Arabidopsis thaliana: one gene and its partners. The protein of the gene in region 3 interacts with the protein of the main gene of each other region in a pairwise test. Each region holds a gene or a part of one and is shown on either strand. Other genes may lie near its edges.

The links.
Region 1: the proteins of ATAUX2-11 (region 3) and ARF8 interact in a two-hybrid assay, tested with the Arabidopsis thaliana proteins (2 studies listed by BioGRID).
Region 2: the proteins of ATAUX2-11 (region 3) and KIWI interact in binary tests that used the Arabidopsis thaliana proteins (3 or more experiments, as listed by UniProt).

The regions. Positions count from the first base shown.
Region 1 is NC_003076.8:14,627,472-14,635,005, reverse strand, and holds ARF8 (auxin response factor 8), read right to left. Parts: upstream 5,554-7,534; 5' UTR 4,856-5,553; coding exon 4,813-4,855; intron 4,729-4,812; coding exon 4,619-4,728; intron 4,530-4,618; coding exon 4,431-4,529; exon of another isoform or gene 4,325-4,430; coding exon 4,268-4,324; intron 4,192-4,267; coding exon 4,036-4,191; intron 3,943-4,035; coding exon 3,858-3,942; intron 3,577-3,857; coding exon 3,486-3,576; intron 3,415-3,485; coding exon 3,250-3,414; intron 3,166-3,249; coding exon 3,043-3,165; intron 2,931-3,042; coding exon 2,855-2,930; intron 2,727-2,854; coding exon 2,579-2,726; intron 2,347-2,578; coding exon 1,373-2,346; intron 1,285-1,372; coding exon 1,094-1,284; coding exon of another isoform or gene 1,090-1,093; intron 1,018-1,089; coding exon 900-1,017; 3' UTR 552-899; downstream 1-551. Other genes in the region: AT5G37030 (P-loop containing nucleoside triphosphate hydrolases superfamily protein), read left to right, coding at 1-392. UniProt on the Arabidopsis thaliana protein: Auxin response factors (ARFs) are transcriptional factors that bind specifically to the DNA sequence 5'-TGTCTC-3' found in the auxin-responsive promoter elements (AuxREs). Seems to act as transcriptional activator.
Region 2 is NC_003076.8:2,874,637-2,878,127, forward strand, and holds KIWI (ssDNA-binding transcriptional regulator), read right to left. Parts: upstream 1,974-3,491; 5' UTR 1,844-1,973; intron 1,742-1,843; 5' UTR 1,733-1,741; coding exon 1,598-1,732; intron 1,486-1,597; coding exon of another isoform or gene 1,446-1,485; coding exon 1,340-1,445; coding exon of another isoform or gene 1,323-1,339; exon of another isoform or gene 969-1,322; coding exon 850-968; 3' UTR 845-849; coding exon of another isoform or gene 785-844; 3' UTR 552-784; downstream 1-551. Other genes in the region: AT5G09240 (ssDNA-binding transcriptional regulator), read right to left, coding at 13-144; VPS20.2 (vacuolar protein sorting-associated protein 20.2), read left to right, coding at 2,161-2,262, 2,627-2,779, 2,933-3,085, 3,242-3,325, 3,484-3,491. UniProt on the Arabidopsis thaliana protein: General coactivator that functions cooperatively with TAFs and mediates functional interactions between upstream activators and the general transcriptional machinery. Binds single-stranded DNA.
Region 3 is NC_003076.8:17,548,422-17,552,246, forward strand, and holds ATAUX2-11 (AUX/IAA transcriptional regulator family protein), read left to right. Parts: upstream 1-1,757; 5' UTR 1,758-2,043; coding exon 2,044-2,222; intron 2,223-2,314; coding exon 2,315-2,617; intron 2,618-2,706; coding exon 2,707-2,785; 3' UTR 2,786-3,294; downstream 3,295-3,825. Other genes in the region: AT5G43695 (uncharacterized protein), read left to right, coding at 1-130. UniProt on the Arabidopsis thaliana protein: Aux/IAA proteins are short-lived transcriptional factors that function as repressors of early auxin response genes at low auxin concentrations.

The sequences.
Region 1 (7,534 bases), 2.9 Mb from region 3:
TGAGTGTTGGAGTGATTACTCCTTACAAAGGACAAGTTAGAGCAATCCAAGAGAGAATCAGAGATAAGTACAGTTCCTTATCAGGTGAGCTTTTCACTGTGAATGTTCGGTCTGTAGATGGGTTTCAAGGTGGTGAAGAAGACATTATCATCATCTCTACCGTTAGAAGTAATAGTAACGGGAAGGTTGGATTTCTCAGTAACCGTCAAAGAGCCAATGTGGCACTCACTCGAGCTAGGCACTGTTTATGGGTGATTGGAAATGAGTCAACACTGGCTCGGAGTGGTTCGATTTGGGCAAACCTTATAAGTGACTCGAAGAGACGTAAATGCTTCTATGATGCTAAAGATGATAAGAGATTGAGAGATGCCATGAATGCTGTCCAAGGTTGATAAGTCTGATGTGTGTGCACGTTTAAGTACTCTTTGGGTCAAAAAGAAAGGGAGAAAATGAGTTGTTGGTACTTCATCTATGTCATTCTTCAACCTAAGTTACTAGTAGAAGCTTTTGGTAACATTTTGTGATTAATGGTTGTGTTTTAAAGATTTGGTTGGTTTTGGTTTCACACCTTATGGAATCTAATTGGTCTGACCAAACTGAATGTCTAACAATGTTGTTACAAAAATAGAATAAGAATAAATACTAGAAAAGTTTAGTTACCCTGAGACAGCTACATAAAGGTTCTTATGTTTATGACGAGAGTGTCTGTCTAATACAAGCTAAAGTACGTCCTAAAGTTTCAGGACCCATACTCACAAATATGATTATGTTTCTTTCTAAAAACGTCAAAACGAGAGAGATGCGAACGAATGGCATATAAAGATGAGTGGAAACGACTTCAAATGGGAAACAAAGGGCTCCCGCGTTGTAGCATGATGAGACTAACACCGAAGCAGCTTCTAGAGATGGGTCGGGTTTTGCGGGAATAACCCACCACTGCCTTCTCCATGATCTCCCATTTGATGCACATCTTCTGGTGATAGTATCTTTATGTACCAAACGTTATTCACAAATGACCTGCAGAACAAGCTTTTAAAGATCTATCTCAAATCTAAAGCAATGTATACAAATAGAAGAAGAGTACTTTACTTACTCCCATGGGTCATCACCAAGGAGAAGAATATCATTTTCCTTGTCAACGAATACAAGCTGCCAGCCTGATCTAAGGGGGTCTTCCAACAACCCTTCGATAGCAAACATCTTCCCTAACTCTTCTCGCAGCTCGTGGTAGCTGCTGAATCGGGAGATGTCTAATGAACGCCCAACCGAACCAGATTTATAAACCTGCAGTTTTGGATTTGTAAGCATATCAGTATTTTCTTAGAGACAGTAGAGCCACAGAGAAGTCGGTGAGCCTAGAACAAACCAGCACCTTTACAAAGTTCTTGGTTTGGTTGGACGAGTTAATCTGTCCAGCTCCATGCAATAACTCATGAGTTGTGTCTTGCATGCAGCTATATAAGGAATTCTGAAATCCTGAATCTGTTAGTGACATAGGGGAAGCTTCAGCATCTCCTGATGAAGAAGCAAAGCGGGGAACCGTACTGGGGAGGAAGAGTCCAGAGTCGGGATCAACACCGAAAAGAGAGGGATTCTGCGGATTTCCGGGTTCTAGAGCAAGACTCTTCCCAGGATAGGCTTGTGGAAGTGACAACGGTTCAGAAAAAGTGTTGGATGCTTTTGGAGACCAGCCCTCTGTTGTTAACTGCTCAGGGAGTACAGACTGACCGGTTATAGAAAAATTCAAAAGATTGCCATCTCCAGAAGCCGGACTAGCAGTTGTTGCAAATTTGTTGCTTGAGTCAGTAAAATCTGACTTCATGAACGAGGGAGATGGCATCTCTGATTGCTGCTGCCACTGTTGAAGATGGCCATTTTGCATTTTGAAAGCATTAAGATATGCATTTTGGTCCGGTTGCTGTAGCTGTTGCTGCTGTCCAGCTGGTTGGTTACTAACTTCTTGTCGCATATTCTGCTGCGGAAGATTCTCACTCATAATCTGTGTTTGAGCATGCATGAGATGGCGTGACGCTTGTTGCTGCTGTTGCTGCTGAAGCATCAAATCAGAATTATGGGAAGCTGATTGTTGAAGATATTGGTGGTGAGGCTCTTGCAGCTGTACAAACTGCTGTCTTAAAGGATCTCCACCGCCGATGTTCTGCAACCCAGCAGCTAACATTGCTTGGTATTGCTGATTATTATCAGTCCCCATTTGACTGAGATCCAGCCTTTGTTGCATCCATGGAAACAAACCAACAGATGGATAATTTAGAGGAAGCAAACCTTGCTGCTCTCCACCTCCCCCTCTTAGCCATGTTAGACCACTTCCCAAATCACCCCTTCCATCTGTAACATCATAATGTTTTGAGTAAATAGCTATGGAGAGTACCTACACACTTCTTTGTAAATAAATTATAACAGTAAGACCCTCTTCAGAGCTCTACTCAATCGAACATTTGTTATTTATCCGAAGTAGCAACTAAGTTACAATAGCAGAAACACTGAGTGACAGTAAGAGACTTCACGAACGTACTATACTAGTTAATAACAGTTAGGAGAAGAGCCAAAAGGTGGATACCAGGCAAAGATGATGTGCCAGCATGCCATGGACGTTTTAGTCTGAGAGGAAAAAGAGATGGATACATAGGAAAGGTAGTCAGAGGCTCAATCTCCCATAAAGAAACCCTTGGCTGTCTCTCCCCTGCAGTCGATTCATCCCAACCAACCTACACCAATAATGCCACAGTTCATCAATGTTGATGGAATTTCAGAGTAATATTGGACTAAATCATCAGAAAGCTGTGTGACGTTCCATGGAATTTAAATAAGGTAACAGGCTTAATAGTGTTGTTACCTTCACAGATCGCCAATGAGAGTTTGGCCAACGAACAGAATCTAGATCACTAATACCAGTTATAGTACCCATGTACCTGGAAAGTTCCCCATGCCACTGTCAGAAAACATGTTAAAGTAATATGTGTAACATAATGATATAGTTTTCTCAGTTTCAAGATTGCATTTCCAGATATGTGGCATCATCACCTGCGGACACTCGACTCTTCTGTCTCGAAGAGCATGCGAAAGCGCATCCCAACTGAAATACGCGTGTGAAAAACGGCTTTAATGTACTTGGAAAGTTGTATCACAAACTCAGATTGGCTAGCCCTGAACATGAAGAGAATATTAGTAGGATATATTATCGGATATACCGAGAGATGAAAAAGATGCAGGTGGGAGAGATTTTTCAACCTTGGATGAAAGAAAACAGTGAAACAGCTATTAGTTGCAGAAGCATGTGCAGCAGCAGCAAGGAGTCCAATATGCATGCTATCACTAGATAAAACAGATGATGGTACAATAGTCTGCGGCCGAGTGGCATGACGAATTCCCAAAAAGAGTTGATTCTTTTCATTCCTGGAAACAAGTAATAGTGTTACAAATATAATCACAATCCACAAACTGAACGTACAACAAAAGAACTAAACCTGATGAAAATGACAGAATCTCCAGCTACTAGTCGCTTGGCACTGACAAAGACACTCCATCCAGTAGTTAGGAGATGCCGTTTGGGCTGTCCTGCATAATCACACCAAAACCATGTAAGTTATTCCTAACAAACCAAGAAGAAGGATTCAAATCAACTTAACTTCATATGAACAAGTAAATAATTCCACGTTATAATAGACAACGACAAGAACACAGAGCCTCCGTGGTTTCTTCAACTAAACCACACATGAGTAGTGAAAATAACAGCAGATGCTGCTTCAGACATACTTAACAGCCAATTGAAATTTTTACACTGGCGACTACAGTTAAAAAGGGATCATCAACGCACACCGAGGAAAGGTGAAACCTACCCCGAAAGATATGCCTAAACTTCCATTCAACATCATGGAGATCCCTTGCAATCAGTTCTTGAGCTGGTGGCTGCAGTGTGTAATCCTGCAACAGGGAAGACACAAGATATTAAAAGGAATACATATATTTTCTCAACAACAATTTATAGCAAAGTAAGTAAAAGAAAAAGTATAATACCAATGGAGGAAACACTTTCTCAGCAGCACGTCTAGGAACAGAAAACCCTCCATGTGTACTGGTATCACTAGCTGTGAGAGTCTTACAAAAATAATTACTAGGTTGCTTACTCGGTATCCCCAACTCAATCGGTACAAATGTTTCCTTCTGCTCCTCCTATAAACAACACCAATCCTAAAGCTTAAGTTATTAATTCACAGACTCAAAAACCTGTTATGTATAATGTATCTACCGGTGTCAATGGTTGAAGTGTCATTTGAGCATAGACTTCATCCGTCTCAACATCTGCCTGAAATAGTAGAAACGAAACCCATACTTACAAAGCACATCATCCCAAAACTAGTTTACAAAAGTAAAAATTGAATATGGAAAGGGACAGGGAACTAACTACGCACATGCATTGTAACATTATGGAGCTGGCATATCAATTGTGGTGGTAGGCTTGGGTAATTGGGTATGTGACCATCAACTTCCTTATTAGTTGTAGCAGCTACCTACAAGTACACTTCTATTTAAATGGAAATGCCCAAATATAACACAAGTCTAAAAATAAAGCTCCATACTTTTAAACAACAACCCAAACCTGTTCACTGTGACCCTGTGGAAAGTAAACAACTCGACTACCAGATGATGGAAGAGAGACTAATGGTCCAGCACAAGCATGCCATAGCTCAGAATTCAGACACTTCTCTCCTGTTAGAACAAACACAGACACAAGAACTAAGAAAACACTTGTCCAGAAACAGAACTAAGAAAATCAGAGAGTAAACAAGTCACCTTCATGACCCTGTTGACCCAATCCAGATGTTGACAGCTTCATGTCTAATTCAACTTCAAGAAACCAAACTTTGAAAACCCTAATTTTTCCGTACAATCTATTAAAAAATCTTCTTCACTTCCAGCTACTACAGTAGCTATAACTCTTTAGCTCCGGAAGTACAAACTCGTCTTTCTCCATCTCCTTTGTTCAAACCCCCAAAAATCTCACTCACAACCATAAGACTCAGTGAAAGCTTCGAATCAAAAAACCATCCATAAAACCCTTAAACACAAGAAACAGAACAAACCCCATTTCTTCAAAACCAGAATCTGTTTCTTCTCATCATCAAACCATGAACAACAACACAAGCTCTCTACTACAAGTACGCATTGAAGCAACCCCAACAGAAAAAAAAAAACTCTTGTCTTTGAGATCTTTGTGGATGAAAAAATGAAAGAAACAAGACAAAAGAACAAATCTTTCTTCTTCAACAACTTGACTTCTCTCGTGGGTAAAAAATTAAATCTCTTGAAGCAGTTCCATCACTGTCCAAGAGAGACACTTTGGCTTTCAAAAACAGAAGAGAGAGAGAGAAAGAAATGGTTAGTGAGAGAAAAAGATATGTGTCAGAGAGAGAAAAGAAGAGTGCGTGGGGGTGAAAGAGAGAGAGAAAAGAAGAAGAAAGTGAGTAAGTGGTTTTCCTCCTCTTATAAGAGACCCGACCCGACTCCACCCGACCCGGATTTGACCCGGATCCGATACAGTGGAGAGAAGGAAGAAGAAGAGAGGTCCTACTAACGAGAATTATGAGAGGTGGTGTCAGTACCAGAGTCACTTCTTTTTGACCGTTGGATTTGACTCTTGAGATCTTGATCGTTGAAAAATAATAATTGTTTTTTTTGAGGTCTTGGATTCGATGAAAAGGACAATGAATTATAGTATTTGAAGTGAGAGAGTGAGAGAGAGATAATAGAGTTGTCATAAATGTTAGCGTTGTTTATTTTAAATACTTTTTATTTTTGCTCCATTCATTGATGAAAGAAACACCAAATACTCCCATAATTTGATTTATTTAAAGATAATTTATAGTAGTATTTAATTTAATAACTCAAAAAATATTTTGTTGGATCTTTTATGAGTTCGTTGAAAAAATGGTCAAAGGTTTATCTATTGATAAGTGATGTATTATTAGATTCGCAAATCTAAGTTCTAATTTAGAAACAATCATTAGCAAATAGATGCCCGATAATCCAACATCTTATGGATACCACTATTTTACTTACCAAAAGAGAAAACTAATACACATGGATCTTGTTTGAATAATTTTTAAAAAATTTGGGATATGGAGTGTATCACTTGGAGAAGCTGGATTTGGAATAATCTTTGCAAGTTAAGACCCTTAACTAGGTTTTTCATCGTTTGTGAAATTGGTTCAGAAATAACTTGTAATTTCTGGACTGATAATTGGATTTTTTTGGGACCATATTTGTCGAGCTAACCTGAAGATTTATGACTAAGAATTTCTCTTCTCCCTCGTTCTGTTGTGGTTGCGGATGCATTGAGAAAGAGACAATAGTGGCTTACAAATTCTCGAAGTCGCAGTCCCATTATTCAGTTGCTTAAAGAATGTCTTCCTTCCTATTCTACTGTTAACTTACAAGAGGATGTAGAGGATGATGTTTACCTTTGGAAGGTGATGATATCCATGCATCAAATATTTTCTCTGCTGCTAAAACTTAGGCACATTAATATTCAAAAAAAAACTTATGCACATCTTCATCCTCCTGACACAAAGATGGATCGGTTTGAATCTGTGTGATTTCCAGGAAGGATTCTTAAGCATGCTTTCATTGCTTGGCTAAAGTCTCATCATAGACTTCTCACTAGAGACAAAATGATTCGATGGGGCATGACTACTCCTTCGTCGTGTCTTCTCTGTAATTTGATGGATGAATCTCGCTAACATTTATTCTTCGACTGCTCTTATGTTGCAAAGGTATGACACTATTTCTATGATAAAGCCCATCTTTCTCCTCTAAATCAATTTGAGGATGAAGTTAGATGGTTGAAGAATCCTTGTCGTGACAAGAAAACTACTTTGATTCTTCGAATTGCCTATCAAGCCTCACTGTACTCCATATGGAAAAAAGCGCAATGCAAGATTGCATAATTCATCCTCAAAGCCAGCCTCAGTTCTCATTATTTATCATTAACATTCTTCAATGTCATCTAGACCCTTGTTGGATAGCTCAACGGATCATTCATCTGGTTTGGTGTCTTTCAATAAATTTATTGTAATACTTTTGTTATCTCATTTATTTCGATTGTAGGTTCAATTTTCCTTGGTGTAACTTTTCCACTTCTATTATATGAAAGATATGTTTTTTGAATAAAAAAAACTGCTAAATGGAAGTTTCCTTCGTTCTATCGATGGTAATATCGTGCGATACGTCGCAATCATTTATATAACTCAACGATTGATTTTTTAAAACAACATGATGTCAAATTATATGGGCTCATCATCATGGGCACAAAACAAATACTATTACATGAAATTAAATTTAAAATTAAGATTACTATAATTTCAATATATTTTAAATTTATCAATTAATTATTTTCAGTGGACATAAATATGCATATTTACTCATCAATAATACAATAAAACATCTATAAATTGATAATGTTAGTACCATGCTATTTTATTAATGTATACTGATATTAACTTATAAAGATTTTATT
Region 2 (3,491 bases), about 15 Mb from region 3:
AGAGAGACTAACATTGCAGATGAAGATGTCCTCAATCTCGTCCGCTGGCTTTGCCACTTTCTTAGGCGGCGCGTGGGTCTCAGATTCGTCGCGGTCGTCTGATGCTCTGACATCCTCGTCTTTCCTTTTTCCGTTCTCAGACATTTTCTTAACCTCTAAAAAAAACACTCTTCTACTGCAAAAATTGACTCTTGAGATTCTCAAGTTAAATAAAAAGCACCTCTCTCCTTTTCTCGCGTAATATATCTACTGCGTTCACCGAATTACAACTGTGATATCAGATTCGGAACGCCATTTTACAAGCGCACAGTTTGAGAACACGCGCGGCCAAACTTAAAACGGGGGAGTTTTTTGGGAAGGTAAATATTCTTTGGAAAAGAGCAACTATAGCAATGAAAGTAGCAACACAGAGTGATACATTTATTGTGATGGGTTCATCTTCAAAGACAATGTCTGCTTATGGCCTTGTCCGGATCAAGTGAAGTTTGGCAAGAGCTATGTAACATTTAGACCTATCTTGTTTATAACTTATCAAATGAATACTTGTATTCCTGCAACGTATCTTAATTTGCAAATAAAACAGCACTACAGCAGTAAATAAAAGAGCAATCATTATATTCTTAATACCAACCAAAGCTTGTCTGAACCAAAAGTGAAAGATTCCATACACCAACTAATTTGAAGCAGCTTACACTAGCAGAACATGGTGTTGTTCTACAAAAACAACCAAAACAACTGAGCCATATTCTAATAGACGTACAACCAATGATACAAGTTTTAAAACCTAAGAAAGGTCAGAGAGGGCCTTCTCGATATCCTCTGCGTGGTTCCGAAGAGTGTTCCACTGCATTAAGGAAAAGCTGTGTAATAAGCAAATAACAAGAAAACAGAAACACTTCTAGGAGACATAAAACAGTGGAGAGAGATAGAAAGAGATGTGAGTACCTGATCCACGCTTAGAGAGATACCTGCAACGTATAACAAACATAGAGATAATCTTGTCAACATGATTAGTTATGTAGAGATAAACTAATATAGCTGTCTCTAGAGAAAGACATGAAGGAGCAATAGCACCAAAATAAACAAAACGTTGTTGTACAAAAGCAAACACTCTGCACCATCTCCGCTCATACTTACAAGTCCATAAACAGTCTCAATAAGCAGAATTGCCTATTATAAAACCCTAAGATATGCAATTCTATAAACCTGACTAAATGCAGAAACTTAACAAAGCAAAACAGTAACGAAATATAAAACTAAGAGATGAGGAAACACATTACTAGAAATAATGAATTATGAGAGCCAAGGGGCATTGGTTTAAATTACAAAATAAAGTTACCTTTCTTGCCAGGCAAAGTCTTTCCGTCCTTGACATAGAACTCACGAATGTCAATCCAAATCTTCCCGTTCCAATTCCTTACAGAGACTCTCCTATTCTTAGATATCTGATGTATAACCAACATGAACCCTAATTTGATTAAAACCCTAATTTTGAGCAAAACACATCAACAAAATTAAAACTTGACCGAAACCCATAAGCTCACTGCTAATAGAGTAGATAACGAAATTGAAAGATAGACAGAAAGTGTAGACTAACGTTGCAGACGACGATATCGTCAGACTGGTCGGAATCGTCTGCTGGCTTTGCGACTTTCTTAGCCGGCGCGTGGGTTTCAGATTCGTCATCTGATGCTCTGACATCTTCGTCTTTCCTTTTTCCTCTAGAAGACATTTTCTCCAACTGTAAATAAGCAGACCCAAAATGTTCTCTTCAGACCAGAGTAAACTCGCACTAAACAAAAAACCGAGCAATTACAAAATTTAGTAAAAGTGAGAAGGAAACCTGGTCGTGACGCTGCAACGAGTTTCTCGGAGACGGCGAAAGGACTCTTCTACTGCGAAATCGACAAAAGAGAATTGAGAGATTCTGAAGAAAAATGAATCGGCGCGTCTCTTCTCGCGTATTTATGTTAATGTGTTCACCGACCACGCGCTGTTGCAGAGCGTGTGATAAAATTAGAACTGTGACAGTTGTTTTGATTCGGAACGCTTTTTTATAAACGCGAATTTGAGAAAACGCGGGAGCTTTTTTGCTTGGGAAAGGTGAAAACAAAAAGATTTGGACTTGGTTTGAAATCGCCGAACCCTTGACAAAACTCGATGGGGAATTTATTCGTGAAGAAACCGAAGATCACGGAGGTTGATCGAGCGATTCTCTCTCTCAAAACCCAAAGGCGCAAGCTTGGTCAATATCAGCAACAGGTTCTTGATTCCTTCGCCTTGTGATTTCGCATTTCTAGGGTTTATTCTTGCTCGAATTTGGTCTGAGACAGAAAGTGCAGTTTGATTCGATTCACTAATGGTTATGAATAAGGGTAAAGGTTACTGAATTTCGGCTATGGGTTCTCGAGGTTTAAGAAGCAGTTAAATGTAGAAGTTGCCTTCAGAATCTGTCTTGGATCCAAATGTTGATTCTTATGTCAAGCTAATGATGGTTTAATTATTTCATCGCCACTATTGGTAGATAGTGAGTTTGATCGCTGAGAAAGTGGAATGCAAATGTTTTTTTTTTCTTTCCTATGATCCTGAGCTTTGACCTTTCTTTCTCTTAAACCTTTCTTTTTAGCTTGAGAAAGTAATTGAAGCAGAAAAGCAAGCTGCAAGAGACTTAATCCGTGAGAAGCGAAAGGACAGGGCTTTGTTAGCATTGAAGAAAAAACGGACACAAGAAGAGTTGTTGAAGCAAGTAGATCAGTGGCTCATCAATGTCGAACAACAAGTAAATTGGCTTGACCTTCTTCTTATCATCTCCTTGTTTCCATCACATAACCTTAGTGCTATATAAACAGTACTTTTCTTTTCTTTTATAGCTGATTTTATGTTTTGAAAGAAACATAAACGAATATATTTTGAACCTGTCTTTATGACTCAGTTGGCAGATATCGAACTTACAAGCAAGCAAAAAGCAGTCTTTGAGAGCTTAAAGCAAGGTAACAATGCAATTAAGGCGATTCAGAGCGAGGTCAACCTTGATGATGTTCAAAAACTGATGGATGACACTGCCGAGGCCAAGGCTTATCAGGATGTGAGTTAATAGTGAATCTTGTTGTTCCTTTTTGTTTGTGTGGTTCGCTTATAGTTACAATCATTTGTCACATTTGCCGAGCTTCTCCTTGTTTTTCTCCTTCATGGTTATGAGTATTCCCTTGCTTGATCTAACTGTTAAACACTTTGATTTTAGGAACTGAGTGCCATATTAGGTGAGAAACTATCAGCGGAAGATGAAGAAGAGATCTTAGCAGAATTCGACAACCTAGAAAGTCTGGTATGCTACATAATGGATTCTCTTGTTTCTCAGATACAATTGTTTCCAGCATTATGACCGTACTGCCCTATTGATGTTTCGAGTACCACCATTTACTTTGTGAAACAATCTTCTTGAGTGGAGTCAAATGTGATATATAATGTTTGTTTGTTTTGAAGCTGATTGT
Region 3 (3,825 bases):
AGAAATTCCTCAGTTGCATCATGAAGGTTCGCCGCAGGTAGTGAAATTACTGGATGATGACTGCATGGATGGATGTCATATGAAATGTATTCCTAACAACAGAATTACTCCTTGTTTATGTCTATGTTAATTTTCCGTTTTCTTTTTTGAATAAGATATGTTTTCACTAATAATAAAACTTTGTTGCATAGTCCATACAAAAAATATTGAACATTATGTAAAAAAATTCAAAAAAGATAGTTAAGAACAAATTCAACATGGAAGAGGTGATGCCTAATTTTTCATCAAACCAGCCACCATTAGAATAATCACTAGGATGATATAAAAGCATATATATTGCCCACCAACTATAACTTATGAAGCTGTATATGTATGATCATGTGTGTAGCTGTTTTATATCATTTATTGGATCCAACGGTGGATCAATCCAACATAGAGTCCAAAAGAACCGGAACCGGAGAGAATGCCATGAACCGGTTTGTTGTTAGATACGTCTCATTTTCAGTATTTGATTTCTAGCTAAATAAGCTAGTCATGAACTTAAATCTCTAACGCCAACCATGCAATGAAACCAACTTTTCACATTTCAAATCGAACCCAAAGTCTTGTCGTCTACCGTGTAACAATAAATACCAAACTCACTACCTTTAAAATTCTCCTTTTTGAGACCAATTCGGATAAAACCAACAATCTCCTAAATGTTCACTTCCCAAATGTCGTAATCCATAAATCATACTCAAGAAGAAGGATTTAGACTATTAGGAGGTCATGTGCCAAAAATAACATAATACTAATGATAAATTAATCACAAATATTTAAGCACCATTTAGAATCATCAATCACAGTGGATTAGTGTTGGATTTGATTCTATTGAAATCCATGACTGAATAATACCCCTTAATGTGTAACGATTCAAAACTTTTTCTACAGAAAAAAAAAATTTGAAATCGAGACTAAACAAACTTAGGATAAAAAAATAGTCTTGAACATAGGTTTTCAAATTTGGTCCTCCAAAGAGATTAGGTTAGGTTTGGTTTACATTGGTTCACTAAAGCATGACAAGTACATAAACTGCCTTGCTGTAGTAACATGAAAACAAAGTCAGAGAGAAATCAAAACCCAAAACGATAAGACCCCATAGATAATGAACTGTCTAAAGACAAAACCTTTTGGCAAGATTTCTTGTCAGTTTGTTCCTGGATTCATATATATAAAGATCATTAGAAGTTTCATAGAGACAGAGAGACAAATTAAGTTGGGACTTTCATGAAAACTAGTAAAGAAAAACAAATAGTATAATTTTAACTCAAATACTATTTGTTTTTCTTTACTAATACTCTCGAAAGTCCCAACTCAAATACTAGTTGGACACACATGAAGCTACCAATCAGACCCAATGAAACTCAAAATCTTATCCTCCAAACACAGAAAAAAAGACTATGAATATGTTTGACTTTAGACAGCTAGAGTTTCAACTCAATTGACTAGGATGATCTAATCCTGATATCACATGAACCACAAATAGATGAAAGAGTAAGTTCTTGGCTTTAAGAGAGAGAGAGAGAGGTGACAAATGCATATGGCAGACCACAGTACATGTAATGCTTACCCTACAATAACTCAATGCTTGAACAAAAGAGAAAGGTTTTTTATATTCTGCACATGAGTGTACCATACTCTACCCCACTTCCTTGAATTAGGGCTACAGAGAAATGAATCTAGACCGTCCTCTAAAATCAAAGAAAGTATCTTTCTTTGTGTTGAAGATGAAAGTGTCCCACAAATGTCCCCAAAATGATGGGACACACTTTGCCTCAAAGTTGCTGCTACTGTTTACTACCCGACAGCTTTAGCTTTTGCCTTTGTCCTTAAATCAAGTTAATCCCATTTTTTCTAAATTACCAAAAAAGTGACTTTTCAATTCCTATAAAACAATCTTCTTCACAAAGCCTCTTATCTCATCAACAAGTCTTTCTCTCTCTCTAGACAACCACAAGAACACAAAACACACAAAAACAAAGAGGTTCTTTCTTTGAAGAAGAAATGGAAAAAGTTGATGTTTATGATGAGCTTGTTAACCTAAAGGCAACAGAGCTGAGATTGGGATTACCAGGGACAGAAGAAACTGTTTCTTGTGGAAAAAGCAACAAAAGAGTTTTACCTGAAGCTACTGAGAAAGAGATTGAATCCACTGGAAAAACTGAAACCGCTTCTCCTCCAAAGTAAGTGTTTGAATCAAATACAACTTCTCTGAAAATGTGTGTTGAGTTGTGAATCTGATCTAATCTAATCTATGCTATTTCTTGTTTTATAGGGCTCAGATTGTTGGATGGCCACCAGTTAGATCTTACAGAAAGAACAATGTTCAGACAAAGAAGAGTGAATCTGAAGGTCAAGGAAACTATGTGAAAGTAAGTATGGATGGTGCTCCATATCTAAGGAAGATAGATCTAACGATGTATAAACAATATCCAGAGTTGATGAAATCACTTGAAAACATGTTTAAATTCTCTGTGGGAGAATATTTTGAGAGAGAAGGATATAAAGGCTCAGACTTTGTACCTACTTATGAAGACAAAGATGGTGATTGGATGCTTGTTGGTGATGTTCCTTGGGAGTAAGTACAAATTTTCATTTATCTCTCAAATTAGTTAACTTATGACACAATCTTGTTTATGTATTTATGGTGTTTTGTTGTTATTGCAGGATGTTTGTTTCGTCTTGTAAGAGGCTAAGGATCATGAAAGGATCTGAAGTTAAAGGTTTAGGTTGTGGTGGTCTTTAACAAACCTAATTGAGAGATAAAGATCAAAGAGAAAGATTCAAAAACAGAGTTTTTTGTTCTGTTTCTTGAAACAGAGTAAATATAGCTCTGAAACTGCTCGGGTTCTTGGGGAGAGATGTTTCATACAATCATACTTTGTGAATGTTTACCTCATCGGTAAAAAGAGAGATGCTTAAAATGGTCTTAAGCATAAAAGTGTGAGAAAGATCTAAATCTAAACTTTAGCTGTAACTCTGTCTCCATTAAAGAGAAAGGTTTTGTGGTATTAGAAAGATCTAATCTGAAGATTATCTTTGTGTTTTTCACTTTTTATAATGTTCTTATCGAACAACTTTGATGTTTTTGATGTAATTACCCATTTTTCTGTTCTGTTTCTCTTCAAATTAAGATCTGTCTTTACAAAACTGTAACACAGAACATTAAACCTAACTTGTAGATGAACACAACGAAGACAAATCATTAAACCAAAGCTGCTTTATGGTAAAAATAATAATCCCAGCTTCTAAACATATATCATTGGATTCTAGTTTCTTTAAACTTAGATTATACATGTTTAGTCACCAAGATTAAAGAAATAAGAAATCTAATCGAGCAGTGAGAATATTTTTGGGGCTTTGGAAATGTTTATATTATCTTTTGTTGTTACCAACTGTGACTTTGGTCCCCCATACCTTAAACAAGTAAATCTACCCAACTGTGCTAATTTGTCTCCACTATCACTTATAATAATCTATGAACCTTGGAACTAGAGTAATATTTTAAAATGGTATAGATAGGTTCATTGAATTTAGGTTTTTCCTTTGTGCACCAACAATTTTTACATTCATACCTAATGTTCTTGATGCAAGATGATTATTAAGTCAAGAATTTTACCAAATACTTAAACCTAGTTGTCTCGATGATGATGATGATGATTATGATGAGACAACAATCGATCAACAAAAGAAGGATTCAAGATTCTTGATGAGATTGGAAAACTGAATCTATATTTCTAACAAAAGTTTTTGTAATCTTCTTCTGTGGAACATATATATAAATGA